2 linked regions of the Tamandua tetradactyla genome follow. The protein of the gene in region 2 binds, or shares a complex with, the protein of the main gene of each other region. Links are inferred from orthologs where the notes say so. Each region holds a gene or a part of one and is shown on either strand. Other genes may lie near its edges. The genes, in order: H1-4 and KDM4A.

The links.
Region 1: the proteins of KDM4A (region 2) and H1-4 are in contact, whole or in part, in a crystal structure (PDB 6H8P), measured with the Homo sapiens proteins. The link is inferred for Tamandua tetradactyla from reciprocal best matches to the Homo sapiens genes KDM4A and H1-4. Residues at the interface, in NP_055478.2 of Homo sapiens: Ile71, Asn86, Ala134, Asp135, Asn137, Thr167, Ile168, Glu169, Gly170, Val171, Tyr175, Tyr177, Glu190, Asp191, Ser196, His240, Lys241, Ser288, Thr289, Asn290, Asp311, Met312, Val313; in NP_005312.1 of Homo sapiens: Ala24, Arg25, Lys26, Ser27, Ala28, Gly29.

What each region holds. Positions count from the first base shown.
Region 1 is NC_135351.1:29,456,119-29,464,444, forward strand, and holds H1-4 (histone H1.4), read left to right. Parts: upstream 1-5,425; 5' UTR 5,426-5,475; coding exon 5,476-6,138; 3' UTR 6,139-6,251; downstream 6,252-8,326. Other genes in the region: histone H2B type 1-M-like, read left to right, coding at 6,909-7,355. UniProt on the Homo sapiens protein: Histone H1 protein binds to linker DNA between nucleosomes forming the macromolecular structure known as the chromatin fiber. Histones H1 are necessary for the condensation of nucleosome chains into higher-order structured fibers.
Region 2 is NC_135328.1:180,348,984-180,358,764, forward strand, and holds the start of KDM4A (lysine-specific demethylase 4A), read right to left. Parts: upstream 4,120-9,781; 5' UTR 3,961-4,119; exon of another isoform or gene 3,716-3,960; intron 3,626-3,715; exon of another isoform or gene 3,496-3,625; intron 3,050-3,495; exon of another isoform or gene 2,985-3,049; intron 1,576-2,984; 5' UTR 1,536-1,575; coding exon 1,398-1,535; intron 1-1,397. UniProt on the Homo sapiens protein: Histone demethylase that specifically demethylates 'Lys-9' and 'Lys-36' residues of histone H3, thereby playing a central role in histone code. Does not demethylate histone H3 'Lys-4', H3 'Lys-27' nor H4 'Lys-20'.

The sequences.
Region 1 (8,326 bases), on a different chromosome or scaffold from region 2:
GATCTCAGAAATAGACATATCCAAATATAGTTAACCTATCTTTGACAAAGGAACAAAAGCATTTCAATGGAGAAGGAATAGTTTTTTCAATCATGATGCTGTAACAACTGGGTATATACATGAAAAAAAAAAAGGAATCTGAACACAGACCTTATACCTTTTCCAAACATTAACTCAAAATGAATTGCAGACCTATATTTAAAATGCAAAACTATAAAACTTGTAGAAGATAACATAGGAGAAAATCTAGGTGTCCTTGAGTTTGGCAATGACTTCTTAGTACAACTGCAAAAGCATGATCTAAGAAAGAAAAAATTAGCAAGTTGGACTTTATTAAAATTTAAAACTTCCACTCTGTGAAAGACACTGTTATGAGAATGAAAAGAAAAGCCACAGACTGGGAGAAAATATTTGCAAAACACATATCTGGAATATGACTACACCACTGAATTATATACTTGAAAATGGTTACAATGGGAAATTTTATGTTGTTTATGTGTTGCCACAACAAAATATTTTGAAAAAATATGGAACTCCACAACATAAAGAATAGACCCAAACAGAAACTATAGACTTTAGTTAAGAGCATAATAATATTGGTTCATTAACTGTAAGAAAGCTTCCACACTAATGAAATGTTAACAATAGTTTGGGGTAGAGACATATATGGGAACTCTACTTTCTGAAAGATTTTTCCGTAAATCTACAACTATTCTAAAAAAATAAATTCTAAAAAAGAAGAAAAAAGCCTCAAGTAATTGACAAAGGACTTGTATCCAAAATATACAAAGAACTCTTTAAACTAAGAAAACAAACAACCCAAGTAAAATATAGGGGGAAAGTGGAACAGAAACCTAGCCAACAGGAAATAAGCGTATGAAAAGATGCTCAGTGTTACTTGTCATTAGAGAATTGCAAATTAAAACAAGGAGATGCTAGTTGTAAATGGCTAAAAGCCAATACACTGACAATGCTGAATGCTGGTGAGGATTTGTAGTAAAAGAAACTCTCATTCATTGCTGATGGGAATGCAACATGGCACTGGCACTTGGGAAGACAGTTTGACAATTTCATACAAAGCTGAACAAAGACTTAAAAGGTGATTCAATCATCACGCTCCTAAATATTTACCCAAATAATTTGAAAACTTATGCCCATGCAAAAATCTGCACATTCATACAGCTTTATTTATAATTGCCCAAGCTAAAAGCAACCAAGATATCCTGCAATCAGTGAGTGGATAAAATGTGGTACATCATACAATGGAATATTATTATTCACCAATAAGAAGAAATGAGCTATCAAGCCACAAAAAGGGAGGAAACAAATGCATATTGCTAAGTGAAAGAAGCCTTACATACTGTAGATTCCAACCATGACATTCTAGAAAAGGCAAAGCTATAGAGACAATGAAAAGATCAGTATTTGCCAAGGTCTAGGAAAGGAGGAAGCAACTGTGGATAGGTAGACCACAGGGCATTTTTAGGGCACTGAAACTATTCTGTAAGATACTGCAATGGTGGCCATATGGCACTATGTAGTTGTCAAGATCCACAGAACTGTACAACATAAGAATGAACCCTAATGCAAACTACCAACTTTGGTTAAAAATATAATTATAGTAATACTGGTTCATCAGTTCTAACTAATACAGTACACAAAGCAAGATGTGAATAATAGGGTGTGTCAGTTTGACACTGTTGTGTACCCCAGAAAAGCCATGTTCTTTAATCCTCATTCAATATTGCTGGGTGGGATCTTTTTTACTGTTTCCATGGAGATGTGACCTACCCAATTGCGGGTGGTAACTTTTGATTAGTTGGTTTCCATGGAGATGCATCTCCAGCCATTCAACGTGAGGTTGCTTACTGGAGCCCTTTAAGAAGGAACCATCTTGGAAAAAGCTTTAGTGCCAACAGAACCTATACAGCCAGACACCTGTAGAGATGAAAGAAAACTCCCCCAGGGAAACCACTGAAGAAGCTGGGAGAGAAAGCTAGCAGATATGGTCATGTGCCTTCCTGGCTGATAAAGGTGTCCAGAAGCCAAAGACCCCAGCAGACGCCAACCACTTGCCTTCCCAGCTGACAGAGATGTTCCACATCAGCCTTTCTTGAGTGAAGGTACTCTCTTGTTGGTGCCCTAAATTGTTCATTTTCACAGCCTTAGAACTGTAAATTTACAACTTAATAAATTCCCCTTTTAAAAGCCATTACGTTTCTAGTATATTGCATTCTGGTAACTTTACAAACTAAAAGAAGGGAAACAGTGGAGTGGGTTTATGAGAACTCCCCGTACTTTCTGCACAATCTTTCTGTAAACTTAAAACTGCTGTAAAATTAAAAATTATTACTTAAAAAATTCCAGTATTATCATTTTTCATTTTGTACCAGCTTTGGCCATTAAATGCTTCTTTAGATTCTTTGTTTTTTCCAACAATTTCCCAAATTTTCTTGAACATCTCCTTGTTTTCTGGCACCACAAGAGATTCCAGACTCATTCTATATTTTCTCTGCCCCAACACGGGAGCCAGTCACTTCTCCAAGGAGCCCTGGTTTGTTTTCATTCAGGACTGGTACTTAGAAGCCAAGGATTGGTTGCTAGGCGTGTTCGTTTTTAGTAGAGTGTCACTCCTTATAGTCACTCTAAGCTGTCAGAGCAAGGACATATACGTGTGTGTACTAATCCATGCATAAGCACATACATCTATGTTTCTTATCTATATAAATATACAATTTCTCCATGTGGATAGTATCCACAGCACAGAATTGCTGTATTGACTAAATAAGAAGACAGCAGCACACAGTGCTGTAGTCAGTAGTAGGGATAATTATACAGTGTAAAATGGGGTAAGGAGCAGAGACACTGTACTTGGCTATTTTGGTAACCAAAAGACAGCCAAGGGCCAAGCCACTCTCTGTGGATAGAGAATAAAGCAGAAAATGCTTGATTTGTTACTCTTCTTTCTCCTTCTCCAGCCTACTCTTGTGCCCAGTCAAGTGTGAATCCAAGTAAGTCAAGACTGAATTGCTGCTGCTCCGATCCTTCCAACTTGTGATCACATCCAGCATGGACATCTTCATTAAGGTTTCACAGACAAGCCCAGCAATCCCCAGGAACATGACAGAAAACACTTTTGCCTTGTTGATGACCTCTGGTGAGATTGGTTTGCAGACTTAGCTGGACATCAGAGTTACTGGCCAAACTTGTTAAGTATTCAAATTCTGAAGACCGTCTGGAGACTTATTGGATCAGAATCTTTTGGATCAAGCTCTTGAATCTATATTTCAAACATATGCACATACACACACACACACACACACACACACACACACACACACACACACAGGATAGTTCTGATATAACCTGCCAGGCTGGCAAAGCAGAAGTACAGCCTTTTGATATTGATCCTATAATATCATAGAAATGTGTCAAATAAATATTTGATTTAATGTTGGCAGAACTTCAATGTCTTCTCTAATTCGGTGAAGAAGTTTTATGTATAGGTCTATTTAATTAAAGAGTATATAGGAAAGCACTCTGTACAATAAGAGCCCCACAGAATTTGTTATGTTTAAGTAACTCTGAGTCAGAAGCAGTGAGGTATACGTGGAATAAAGTGAGCTATTTGAAAGCAAACTTCAAAGTGTTGTACAAATTTCAGTCATTTGTGGGAGTAGTTTAATTTGTCATTAAAAATGAGTACAATCCCTGAGTTCTAGAGTCAAATGCCCACATAATCCAGTTGCCCTAGTAACCATGAAGGTGATGTGAAACTGCTTACACATTAAGGCTGAAGAAATATTGATGATTTACATCATTTTTATAAGACATTAAGCATTAATTTTAAAAGACTATTTTGAAACACTTCATTAATGCATCAAAGACCTCTATTCTCCTCTATTTCTGTAGTGCGGTTTGTGTGAATGGAGAAAACCTGGGGTAACAAAAATTAAAATGATGCTCAATGCCATGCTGCAGCTAGCCAGGTACATCACCTTATAACCTAATGCAAAATTGTATGTTGTCCCTCTAACTACTTGGCTTACAGCTTTTAAGACAGTTACAGACCATTTTCCAGGAATAATTCCTTTAGCTGGACTTTAATTGTCAACATATGTTCTTCCATTGTTTGGGCAGCTACCTATAAACAAACCCATTCTTTCAGGGGCTTTGTAAAGGATGTCTTCAGAGAGTGGTCACATAGTTTCAATAGCCTCTCAAAGTTCTGCTTCTGAAATGGAAATTTAAACTTGTTATTGAATCCTTACATGCCACTTCTTTTCTTTTTTAAATGGAGATCTGGGAAGCATTTGACCATAATCTTCAGAGGACCTGAAATCAGATTCTGAGTTGGCTAGTCATTCATCAGCTATTCAGTAATAATAGGGCCTGAGTTTCACTAATAATGTGAATAGATGGGCTATAATTTATGCTTCTCATTTATTTTTCCAGGTCTAACGAGTATATTACAGTTCGGTCCTGAAACATATGCCCAAAGAACTCAGCAAGGCTGCGGATAAATTCTTCAAAGTAAAGTGCATCCCCACTTCCAGTCACTTTCTGAACATTGTCTGTGTTTATTGAAAATGCACCCTTCTGCATCTCTGTACTCTGACAGTGTTTTGGAACCCCCTGCTTTCCCAAATATCTTGAATTTAAGGTAGCTCAACCCAGGGAGCAGTTGTCCAGAGGAAGAGAAGCAACAGCCCCGCCCCCAACCCTTGGGAGCCGAAAGGAAAAGAATTATCCTAAGGAATTGTTTAAAATAAAACTAAAACCCAGGTGAAGCGGACAGAAATAAAACCATGACTGTATAGACTGAAGTCCTGAGTATTCCCGAGTTAACCCAAAATGTACAATAATTTGTTTGGGATTAAACTAAACCAGTTTGATGAACTCAAATGCCCTCGGCTCAATAGGCAGGACTCTCCGAGGAGCCTGTGTTACTTCCCTCACTTAAGCGCAGATTTATAATAAAAATCTTAAAGATAGTGGCATGTTTTTTTGACATGTAGGAAGCTAACCACTTGGAGAATCGTATTTGAGAGGTCAGAAAACTCCACACTTAAAGATCAGGTTATAATTTACGAAGAAAATAGAAAGTTTTGTTGCTCTGAGTTGAAATTTGCCGAGGATGGCGGGAAATATTGATGGTTTTTGGCATAAGGATTTGTGCTTCTCTTATATTTTGAGAACTGCGTGAAGTCTGAGGCTTCAGGGATCATTTTCTGAGAAAAACTGGGCAATTCGGTGTAAGGAATTTTGATATTTTTGGCCTTTTTTGAGGTGTAACAAACACAACTCGGGATCCAAGAGGACACTCTGCGGCTGCCAGCGAGGCGGGCTGGACAGCGCACCAATCACCGCGCAGCTCCGCCCTTATATAAGCCGGCGGGCGCGGCGGCGGGGCCCGAGTCCCGGCCAGCGCCTCTGTTTCCGGCTCGAATTACGCTCCCCACGCCAGCCCGCAGCATGTCCGAGACTGCACCCGCCGCGCCCGCCGCTCCTGCCCCTGCAGAGAAAACGCCAGTGAAGAAGAAGCCCCGCAAGTCTGCGGGTGCTGCAAAGCGCAAGGCGTCGGGCCCCCCCGTGTCCGAGCTCATAACTAAGGCCGTGGCTGCCTCTAAGGAGCGCAGCGGCGTGTCTCTGGCTGCGCTCAAAAAGGCTTTGGCGGCTGCTGGTTACGACGTAGAGAAGAACAACAGTCGCATCAAGCTTGGTCTCAAAAGCTTGGTGAGCAAGGGCACTCTTGTACAGACCAAGGGCACTGGTGCTTCCGGCTCCTTCAAGCTCAACAAGAAGGCGGCCCCGGGAGAAGCCAAGCCTAAGGCTAAGAAGGGTGGTGCGGCCAAGCCCAAGAAGCCCGCCGGGGCAGCCAAGAAGTCCAAGAAAGCGACGGGGACGGCCACCCCGAAGAAGAGCGCCAAAAAGACCCCAAAGAAGGCGAAGAAGCCGGCGGCAACTACTGGGGCCAAAAAGGCAGCGAAGAGCCCGAAAAAGGCAAAAGCAACCAAGGCTAAGAAAGCGCCCAAAAGCCCAGCTAAGACCAAAGCGGTGAAACCTAAGGCGTCCAAGCCAAAGGCGTCCAAGCCGAAGGCCGCCAAGCCAAAGAAGGCGGCAGCCAAGAAGAAATAGGAAGTTCCCTTTGGCCAACTACTTAAAACCTTCAATACAACCCAAAGGCTCTTTTCAGAGCCACCCCACACCTGAAGGAGAGCTGCTGCACTTTCAGGGGGGGCGTGGCTGGTAAGAAGCCACGAAGGCGGGAGGGCGGGCCTCCTGGGCAGGAAGAAGGTTGGCGGGAGTTTCCTATTGGGGGGTACAGTACAAAAAGTTGGAAGCGCTGACGGGTTAATGGTGTGGGCGTGTGTTCTCGGCAGCTTGGGTTGGTTGGTCCTGCTAGCGATCCTGCTAGCAGTGAATGCACATGGTAGAGAGAAAACGACAGGTTTCCCGGACTTTCGCGGACCTTGCTGGGCAGTGGGAGAGCGTGGCCGTAACAACCCGCGCTATCTTCAGCGGCAGCCGCACACCTCTCCAGGCGATCGGTACGACTACTGGGGACCCACCCACTAGCCCTAGGCCAGACGCAGTCAGCAGAGGTGCTTTCAAAAGCAGGGAGCTGGGGATTCCACACAAAGGAGAAGCTAATGTATTAGCATAGTTGGCCTGTCTGCTTTCTGAAGCATCTAGCGCTCGGTGTCCGAAAAGGTTCATTTTATAGTACGCTCTGGTAGTCCTGGTGTTGGCTTTCTGATTGGGTCAAAGCAGAGTAACGAAATAGCCAATGAGAAAGTAGACCTGCAAAAAATCATTTACGTTCGCATTTGTGACGACATTCTGAAATTAATCCAATCGTAAGTGAAATCCTATTAACTTAATTTGAATACCGCGTCTATAAATAAATGCGACCTCACTGCCACGGGGTATTTCCGCAAGTGTTTGATTTAGAGTCTGTCTGTAACGTTACTATGCCTGAGCCCACCAAGTCGGCCCCAGCCCCGAAGAAGGGCTCCAAGAAGGCGGTGACCAAGGCGCAGAAGAAGGACGGCAAGAAGCGCAAGCGCAGCCGCAAGGAGAGCTACTCGGTGTACGTGTACAAGGTGCTGAAGCAGGTCCACCCCGACACCGGCATCTCGTCCAAGGCCATGGGCATCATGAACTCGTTCGTCAACGACATCTTCGAGCGCATCGCGGGCGAGGCGTCGCGCCTGGCGCATTACAACAAGCGCTCGACCATCACCTCCAGGGAGATCCAGACGGCCGTGCGCCTGCTGCTGCCCGGGGAGTTAGCCAAGCACGCCGTGTCCGAGGGCACCAAGGCCGTCACCAAGTACACCAGCTCCAAGTAAACCTGCCAAGTAAGCGTCTTTACGCCTAACCCAAAGGCTCTTTTAAGAGCCACGCATGCTTTCAACAAATGAGTTGTCATCTTTTAATCCCAAAAGTTATTGTTGAATTTATCTTGCCAAACTTAAAGGCACGCTACCGTTCTTTAATGTCTCATTAGCTGTGTGGGGCACTTGTAAGGATCCGTCAGTGATAACAATAGCATAAATTGAGCTTTCAGTATGTTTAAATAATACAGTTCTATAGGACTCATTTAGTATCCCATAACTAGATATTAACAAGAACTGACCTTGCCATTTGAAGTGTAGAGCTTTTGTTTTCATGTGTAGATCTCTAAATTGATCATAACTAATCCTACAACAATTTGAAGAACTCGATGATGACTGTGTCACCCTGGGCAGTGACAGCTTTATTCTGCTTTGAGCTTTACTGTTTACGTGTATTGCTATAATTGGCTGAGGATGGTGTGCATTTTCACAGACATATTACAAAGGTTTTACCAGTTCGTTTTGCAATTAGGCCAATTTCTGCCTAAACCTCTGATGGGGCCAGGGGAAGGTGGGGAAAAGAGAAGATGCTGTGTCTACAAGGCACAGAGGGGAAGGGGATATAGGTGAGCAGTCTGCAATAACTTCAAGTGCTGTCAAGTTAAAATTTCTTTTGCAGAAGTCTGATCTCTTTACAGACTCAGAGAAGTCAATCTTCTTAAGCATTCTGCTTAAAAGTCGTCCTGGTAACTGGAGAGAAGCCTAATCAATTCCCGTGACTGAATATGGGTAGGCAACAGTTAGGTAAGGAATGAGTCCCCCCACCTCCGCCCCCACCCCTTTCAGAACCCTTTTCCAAATGTTCCTGAGTGTCAAGGACATGAGGAGGTAGAAAGAAAAGCAAAGTTCCTTCTGCTGGGTAAGACAGGATGTCATTCAGGATTTTCTTTCCAAGAAATTATTGTGGGGAAAATAACTCTTAAGAG
Region 2 (9,781 bases):
GTATGCTACACTTCATGTAAAAGGGGAAAAATAACACATCTACACACTAGTATTGCTTAAGAAAATACCAGAATGATACATAAGAAACTGTGGAGAAAGAGGTGTTAGTAAGATGTTGCAATATCTGTTTTCTTAACACATTTTGCCTTTTCACCATGTAATTAGTTATGTTACCTATTCCAATAATAATATAGTAAGTTAACAAAATAATTAACATGAGAAATGAATCAGATCCATAACTGATCTAGAAGGAGGAACATATGGTATAAAGGGAAAGGAAGAAAGGATGGAGGGAGGGAGGGATGGACAGAAGAAAGAGAGAGTAAGGAAGAGCAAAGGCACACAGGAAAACATACGGCACAATGCTATTCTGTTTAGAAAATAAAACATACAGTCTTATATGTGTGCACATTTGTGTGGGCAAAGCAAAAGGTGTGGGATGAGATACACCAATCAATTAACACTGATTACCTTAAAAGACAGCACACTGGAGAAGGTGATGAAAATTAACCTTTTCTTTGTCTATCATTGAATTATTTAACTTGTAATAACCAGCATTAATTTTTTTTTAATTTTCTTAATCTAATGAAGGAGAACCAAAAAAAATAAAAAGACCTATGAAAAAAAGGTATATTGAGAGTCCTGCTGCTTCTATTTGCTACTAACCTTACAGAAGCTATATCCATATATAAGAGTAAAGAAAGAGATGTCTCAAGCCTCAGCAAAGGCATCAGAATCCAAGGACTGGTCCTCAGCTTTGTAATCAATGTCCTTGCTTTCTTTTCTCAAACTGATAAAGTAATACATGTACATAGTAGGAAATTCAAACAGTATAAAACAGTATAGGGAAAAGCTTTCTCCTGGCTCAGACTGAATCTCGTCTGTGAATTTCTTCATTTCATCTTTGGAGATTCAAGAACTTGACTCTCCAGAATACAGCAGGGGTTGATTCAACTCAGGAGAAATAACTAACTCACAAAGAAAGACGCACAAACCAGAAACCAATCTAAAATTACAAAGATAGAATATTCATGTTGGGCAGGCCTGTGCACTAGCCCATCTTGAAGAAAGTACACATGGAAAGTTAAATTACTATCAGAAAGCTGGATGAGACTGAAATAAGAGAAAGAAAAGTTGGATGGCATAAGACATTGGACAGATAAAAAACACCAAAGCATCCATCTCCACCATAAGGACCAAAACACCAGAACAGCTGTCCTGGAGACACTAGCTCTTTACCTCCCCCCCTTTTTTTTAAGATTCCCAACATCTCTCTCCCTTTCTAAAAGTAGCCATTCTTCAGGTGTTGAAATTCAGTTCTTCCAGCATCACTTAGGAAAAATCTTACTGTTGCCCTCTGTTAAAAAAAAGTCATGTTGAACAATCTCACCCCTTACCTTGGCCAATCCAGCCCGATGAGCTCCTTGAGATTCGATATAGGCAATGTACCGACTGAAGTTCCGGAACTCCTCCATGGTTGGATAAAAAGTCATTATCCGAGCACTGGGGTTCAAGGTTTCAGATTCGGATGCCATTTTTCCCTCCTTGTTGAGGTCACTTTGGTCAGATTAGAAACTAAATAAATATATTAAAAACACAAAATGATACAAAATATAATAAAAATTAAATGCTGGAATGTCAGTGTTGAAAATAGTGAAAGATTACAAAAATTCTGAAGAAATACTAAGATATCACAACACTTGGAATATGACTCTAGAAGTTAGAGGAACCTAATGTCAAAATCCAAATACAATAGTAAAATCACAAATTTGCAATAATGTAAAACCACTATATGGATACATGAAAGTAAGACAAATAAAATACAGGAGAAAAGGAAAAAAAGAACCTGCTGTATCAACATCGTTAGGTATTCAAGTGTCATTTAAATGGAGACACTGTTTCAGATACAAAAGGGGAAACTTTGGTTGTTGGACCACCCTACTACAGCTGATCTGTTCATATTTTATCCTTTTATCTTTTCAAGACACACCCTAATCACACTCTAGTAATGCCTTCTCAGAGAATTAAATATAATGTACTTCAACCAGATTAACAAAGCCACCTAAGGGTCACTTCTAAAGCGGCTTTCAAACAGGATTTTAGATTCCTTAAAAAGTTACACGGTTACAAGAAAGAAGAAAAAAAGTTACATGGCTACAAAGTTTAAGGGTTAAAAACTACTTTAATATCAGTAGCATGAACTATATAATATGTATACCATTTTTATATTCAAATGCACACTCCCCCTTCTCCTCCATCCTCTATAACCTGCTTTTTATCTAGGTAAATTTGGTATTTCTAGTCATCCCTTAAAAGCGATACCATGTAATATTTGCAAGCTATGATTTTTAAAACTGTAAAGTGAATATGTTCTCACATCTAAACCACATGCAGCTTCAGCATATTTAATAAAGCCAAGCCAGAGACTAGTTTAATTGCACTGTACCCAGAACTCAAAGGACAAAACGAGGTAATAAACTGGCGACACAGGGCAAACTTCATAACTGACTGTAGAAGGTAAAAGAAATACGTGATTATGTTTTTAGAAGAAGCCTAAAAACGTAAGGCTAAATGGGTTTGCTATCCATCACCTAGTAACAGAATAAACGTTTTCAAATGAGAAAGGACAAAGCTTAGCAGCTAAAAGGAGCCAGTTTATGGAAGAAAAACTGTATGCCCTTTCCTCTACTGAACCGCCTCACCAAAGGTACGGGAGTTCTTCTTGCCTAATCTGGGCCTCAAAGCCATGACAGCCCAGTTCCAAGAGACCCACTGAGAGCTGGACAGTACTCAGAGGGAAGGAAACTGTTCCCAACCTACCACCAAAAATAACAACCTTGTGTTCCTGGCCAGGTGACCAAACTTTGCATGGCAGGTATGCTGTTATGCCCGTTTTACATACCAGGAAATTTGCCCACATTGGTGAAAGCACTCCTAGTATTATTCTATTACTCTATGAGACCAACATCATTATCTCCACCTACATTAAGTCTTTTGCAAGGGCAGATCCAAGTGTGGAAAATAAAGCTTGTTCACTGTTGTGGATCCCCTTTAAACAAACAAACAAAAAATAATTCACAAATATCTCACTTTTGAAAATTTTACAAAAACATATGGTGCGGACACCCTATTAGGGCCCCTCCCCGGGCCTTGGAAGGGGCCCATTTTCATCCATCTCTGGCCCTATTCATCTTCGTATGCCTAGAATCTAGAACAATGCATGGCAGAGCCGACACTGATAACTGTTGAATACTGATTTCTCACCGTCACCTCTTGCTCATGCCCTTTCTTCAACCTTCGGATTCCCTTTCCCCAGTCTATTTCATGCGGTAAACTTCCATTCCCTGACACCTTCACTCCCCGTATTAGGCAACAAAGCCTAATGGTTCAAGAACACAGACTTCGGAGTCAAAACAACTCCGAATACATATCCGGTCCCTGCACTCACAGCTGTGTGACCTTGGCTGTGAGAGTTATCTGAGCCCGTTTCTTCACCTGCAAAAAGGGGATCCCAATCCCTTGCGTTGTACGGTTGCCGTGATTAAGTCAGATGATGCAAGCGAAACGCTAAGCACTAGGCCCGCTACTCAACCACTCAGCAAAGGAAACTGTTGCTAACAACAGCCTCGAGCTACCGCCCCCTCCCCTCGGGGTCGCGTCCGCGGCCCTCGCTCCACAGGTAGCAGCCCCCGCGCTCAAGGTCCCCGAGCCTCACCGGGTAGAAGTCCAGCCCCGCCCGGCCCCGCCGCCTAGGCGACTGCGGCCCGGCCGCAGGAAGAAGAAAATAAGGCCTTGTAAACCCGCCCCCTCCCTTCCCGACATCCATTGGCCATAGAAGATTGGAAAACGCCAATCTCAGGATTCATTTTAAAAGCTCCTTTTCCCATTGGCCGAGAACCATGCCTATCACTCACCCCTCCCCCACCGGGACTCACGGTCACAACTACGGCGGCAACATACCTAAACGATTCCGAAATTCTATGGTTATCACCTAAAGCCCACCGCCCCAGCAGGGCTTAGGCTAGACTTCTGCTCTCGCCACTAGCCGATCGTACTGATTTCTCAGCCGGCGAAGGACGAGGCTCCGCCTCCTCGAAAGTCCGCCTCTGCGCAGCCGCGTAGCGCACCACGGAGTCAACCAATCCGAGGATCGCTATAAGCCCTCAACCAGCCAATGCAGAAGCGCTGCAGGCGCCTCAGAGTCCGGGATAACAATCTGCTTAACCTATGAGCGCCGGCTCGGGCTGTTGCCAGGAGGAAACTCTGTACCACTTGGGACCGCGGCCACTGAGCATCTCGTCTGGATCTTGGAGCTGGCCAATCGTAGGCGGGCTTCTGGCCATCCGTAACTAATCAGGATTGAAAGAACCGGGTACCTAGAAATGGAACGGTCGGGCAGGTGGGTAAGGGTGATGAGGTTGTGGCAGGGTGTTAACGAAAGGGTGGGGTCGTTTTCTGAGGGTTGCCGTTAGGGGCAGCTTTCGAGGACGAGGAGTTCCTCATATGGTGACCAACTTCTCCCAGTTTACCTGGGACGGTCTTAGGTCGGAAACTTAACGTCGCGTGTCCTAGGAACCCCCTCAATCCTCAGGTCACCCAGGTTCCTGAGGACAGTTAAGAGCAGTGCCTGGGGGAGAGAGCCCTGAGGGTCGTTAGGACGGGTCCTGAGGGAAGGGTAAGTGTCCTGAGGGTCATTAGGCGTATTTCCTCAGTGACCGGGGATTGGGGGTCATTAGGAGCAGCTCTTGGGAAGGTCTAGGGAGTCATTAGAGGCACTTCGAGAGGGCAAGGGGGTTCCTAGAAGTCATTAGGGGCGGTTCCTGTGCGGTAGTGAGTCCCTTTAGGAGCTCACTGATTGTCCGGGGGAGGTGGGGAGGAGGCGGATAGGACCTCCTTATAGATCAAATAGGAAAATAGAATACTTACAACCAAAGTCATTTTTAAAATGTTGACAGAATTACCGAGGTTGATAGAATTACCGAGATGAGTAATGGTTTAGTGCACTGGAAAGAGCTATAGGATCAAACCTGTCTTCAAAACCAGGGCATTCTTCTGAACCTGGGTTTTCCCATCAATAAAATGAAAAAGATAATACCTGCCTTGCAGGATTGTTGTGAAGATGAGAATTAAGGCATGTTGGAAAAAAAAAAAAAGACTGTGTTACATAGAATAGTATGGAATTAGACCAATCATGTTTGGGCCTAGGCACGTTGCTTCTTGAAAAAGAAAAAAGAAAATATACACCCTATACCTATTTCAAAAAAGACGGTAAACCTGGATATGCAACCAGTAGTCTTTCACAACAGTTAAAAGGTTTCTCTCCCTTGACCTAGTAAAATAATACCCTCGATAATTATACCGGGTGGCTGGCAAAATTGCTGGAAGTATGGAGAATCCAACTTGGAGGATACCCAACAAGGAAAACCATGCAAATCATGCAGCTGAGATAATCCACCACCTTCCTTGCTGTTGCCACCAAGCTCAAGATGTGGTGTCTTCCCTCAGGACTCCACTGTCCTGGACATGGATACAGTTGCTAACATTCCTGTTACTACTGACTGCTCCATGAACTGGTTCTTATTACATCTCTCACTGCTGCCAGAGAGGATCTTCCATGGTCCCTGTTACTTTGTATCACTGGCTCACAGCTGGTGTATGAATTTGATGGGCAGAGCCCTAGATCATCTTCTCTTGACATCCTTCCATTTCTCTAACTAGTTTATCTCAGTCTCCTTTTTAAGCTCATCTGTTCCTTTGCATCCATTAAATGTTGGTCTTTCTAAGCAAAACTAATGTACGGTGATAAAAAAAAGTTGTGATTACTTTAGGGTGGAGCAGGGAATCACTGTGAGGAGCACAGTGCTTCTGGGGTACTGATCATGTGCTATTTCTTGACCTGGATAGTGGTTACAGTGTTGTATTCACATTGTAAAAATTCATTGAGCTGTACACTTAAAAATGTAAAAAATTCTATGTACGTGTTCTACCTTAACTTAAAAGAAACAGAAAAAAATGGACAAAAGACTTGAGTAGATATTTCTCAGAAAAAGATGTACAAATGTCCAATAGCACATGAAAATATGCTCAACATCATTAGCTATTAAGAAAATGCAAATGAAAATCACAATACGAATCAATTTCATACCCACTAGAATGACTTTTATTTTTAAAAAATGGAAAATTACATGTGTTGGAGAGGATGTGGAGAAATAGGAACACTCATTCATTGTTGGTAGGAATGTAAAATGGTACAGTTGCTGTGGAAGACAGTTTGGCAGTTCCTCAGAAAGTTAAGTATAGAATTGCCATATGATCCAGCAATCCCACTTCAAGGTATATGTCCAGAAGAACTGAAAGCAGGGACTCGGACAGATGTTGGAACACAGGTGTTTATAGTGGCTTTATTCACAATTATCAAAAGATGAAATCAACCCAAGTTTCCATTAACCAATGAATGGATAAACAAAATGTATATGTCACATTTAGTCTAGAGTGGTAATTGTTATTTTTAGATTTTGAGAGGTTGTGCTATCTATGTATAACCTGGTATTTACTTGCAACTTTGGGAACCTGTGTGACACCTAAGACTCAGAGTATATATATCAGGCTTCAGTTAGGGATAAGAATGGAGCCAATCAGGTCAGGACTAAGGTAAATCAGAATACAGGGGTAAGGTGGACATTGTATTTTCTTTTTTCTTTTTTGTATGCTGTATATGGGGGTCACATTTCATTCCTTTTCCATGCGAGTACTCCCTTATTGCACCATTTGTTGAATTTTTTGTTTGGTTGGGTTTTTGTTGGTTTTGCTTGCTTGTTTGTTTGGGAAGTGCATGGGTCAGGAATCAAACCCAGGTCTCCCACATGGCAGGTGAGAATTCTACCACTGAACTGCCCTTGCATCCCAAGGAGGACATTATATTTTAGTACCTACCAAGCCAATGGGAACAAAGAAGAAACGCTTTTTGTCCAAAAACCTACATTTTTGGTAGCACATAATCTAAATCAACCAGTCTGAATAGATCATTTAAACAACCCAAACACATGGAGCCTAAAATGGGAATGAGGGCTTATAATTCTGTATAGCTTAATTTAATGCCTGGATGCATCCTAAAGTATGTTGAACAGATAATTATAAAGTGTTGGGGGCTAGCCACGATGGCTCAGCAGGCAGAGTTCTTACCTTACACACCAGAGACCCAGGTTGGATTCCTGATGCCTGCCCATGCAAAAAAAATAAAAGGGCGGGGTGGGGGAGGGAGATAAAGTATTGGTAAAGTCCCTTGAGGGAAGGGAGTTTTAAAAAAGTGAAACTATTAAGCTTTACCAGGAGAGAAAACCCTGATAACCTTCTCAAACCAAATCAATAGGCCAAGCCCTTGATCTTGAGGCTTGCTCATGTGAAGCTTATTATGTGGTAAAGACACCAAGCCTACCAACAGTTATGCCAAGAGTTCCAAAGGACCTTTTCTTGTTGCTCAGATGTGGTCCCTTTCTAAGCCCAATTCTGCAAATAAAATTATTACCCAACCTCCTAAGTGGGACATGACATCCAGGGGTGAAAGTCTCCCTGATAATGTGGGATCTGAATCCCAGGGATGAGCCTGGCCCTGGCACTGTGAAATTGACTGTGCCTTCCTGACCAAATAGGGGGAAAGAACTGTAGCAAATAAGTTATCAGTGGCTGAGAGAATTCAAATAGAGTCGAGAGGCTATTCTGGAGGCTACTTTTACACAAGCTTCAGATAGATACTGCTATTTATCATGGTTTGCCAAATGGCAACCAAAACTATTCCTGCCAATCCTAAAGAACGCCTAGGGCTCTGAGATTCTACAAAAGTTCAATGCACTATGATTACTTACCAGAAACCTACAACCTTCAGATGGGCATCTGTTTTAGTCTGCCAAAGCTGCCAGAATGCAACACACCAGAGATGGATTGGCTTTTAATAAAAGGGGGGTTATTTAGTTAAAAACATACAGTTCTTCAGAGGAAAGGTAGCTAACTTTCATCTGAGGTTTTTTTTTTTTTTTTTTTTTTTAAATATGGGAAGGCACAGGGCGAACTCTGCTGGCCTTCTCTCCAGACCTCTGAGTTCCAACAGCTTTCCCTGGGGTGATTCCTTTCTGCATCTCCAAAGGCCTGGGCTGGGCTGAGCTGAGCTGCAAGTGCTGAGATGAGATATGCTGAGCTGCTTGGACTACTGCTTTGAGCTCTCTCATTTAAGCATCCAGCCAATTAAATCAAACATCATTCATTGTAGCAGGTATGCCCTCTAGCCAACTGCAGATATAATGAGCGACAGATGAGCTTCACATGCTATTGGCTCATGTCCATAGCAACAGAACTAGGCACCTTCACCTGGCCAAGCTGACACCTGAACCTAACTACCACATGCCCACCCCTTGTCAACTTGGCAACTATACACATCACCTTAAACAATATTAAAGTGGCAAAAATTCTCTTCTGGCTGTGGACCTATGAATCTCAAAACAAGTTATCTTCTGCCAATATGCAAAGGACGGACAGTCATGGGATACATGTTTTCGTTTCCATAGGGAGAAACTGGAAGAAGCACAGGAGTCACAAGACCCAAACAGTTCTGAAAACCTGCAGAGCAAACTCCATTGGATTTCAAAGTCTGAAAGTCATTTAACCTCAGGGCTTTAGAAAGTGGCAGTCCCACACTTTCCAAGCCCATGCAGTTACTTTACTCTCTCCAAACACTGGGGTGGTTGCAAGCTTGGGGGACATTGGGAAGACCACTTTTGGCTCAGCTCCACCCCCTCCAAGCTTCACGGCAGCACCCAGGATCTCTGCCATCTTCACGGCATAAACTCAACCCCTCCAGAACACTGGGGTAGTAGCCAGGCTCTCCCCAATCCCCTGTTTATGCACTCGACCCTCTCCAATGCCTGGAGTGGCACAACTCTTCCTGAGCAATGATGCAAAGGGTTTGCCCTCTGCTCCTGGGGCAAACTCACCTCCTCCATGTATACAGGTGGGTCCACTCTCCTGGCCTGAGGTTTCTTGGCTTCAGAGCCAAGCTTCCATGGTTCTCACTCTGCAAACTCCAATTTGTCCCTCTTGTGTTCCCCTTTGTCCAGATTGGCAGTGGTTCCATTTACACCAACAGTCTCTTCAAGCACTTCAGGCCTTCTCCATCATCCTCTTCACAGTTCCTCCAAAATTTTCTTCCCCTTATCCATCCCAAAAACTGTTCCAACATGTCTAGTATTTGCAAACTGCAGCAGCATCCCACTTCTCCGGTACCAAATCTGTTTTAGTCTGCCAAAGCTGCCAGAGTGCAACACAGCAGAGATGAACTGGCTTTTAATAAAAGGGAATTTATTTCATTAAAAGTGTTTAGTTCTTCAAAGGAAAGGCAGCTAACTTTCATCTGAGGTTCTTTTTTACACGGGAAGGCACAATGCAATCTCTACTGGCCTTCTCTTCAGGCCTCTGGGTTCCAACAGCTTTCCCCAGGGTAATTATTTTCTGCATCTCCAAAGGTCTGGACTGAGCTGCGAGTGCTGAGATGAGGTATGCTGAGCTGCTTGGGCTATACCGTGTTGAGCGCTCTCATTTAAGCATTAGCCAATTAAATCAAACATCCTTCATTGCAGCAGGCACACCCCCTAGCTGACTGCAGATGTAATCAATGACAGATGAGCTTCACCTGCCATTGGCTCATGTCCATGGCAACAGAACAAGGCACCTTCACCTGGCCAAGTTGACACCTGACCCTAACTACCACAGCATCTAAGCAGATAAGTCCTGA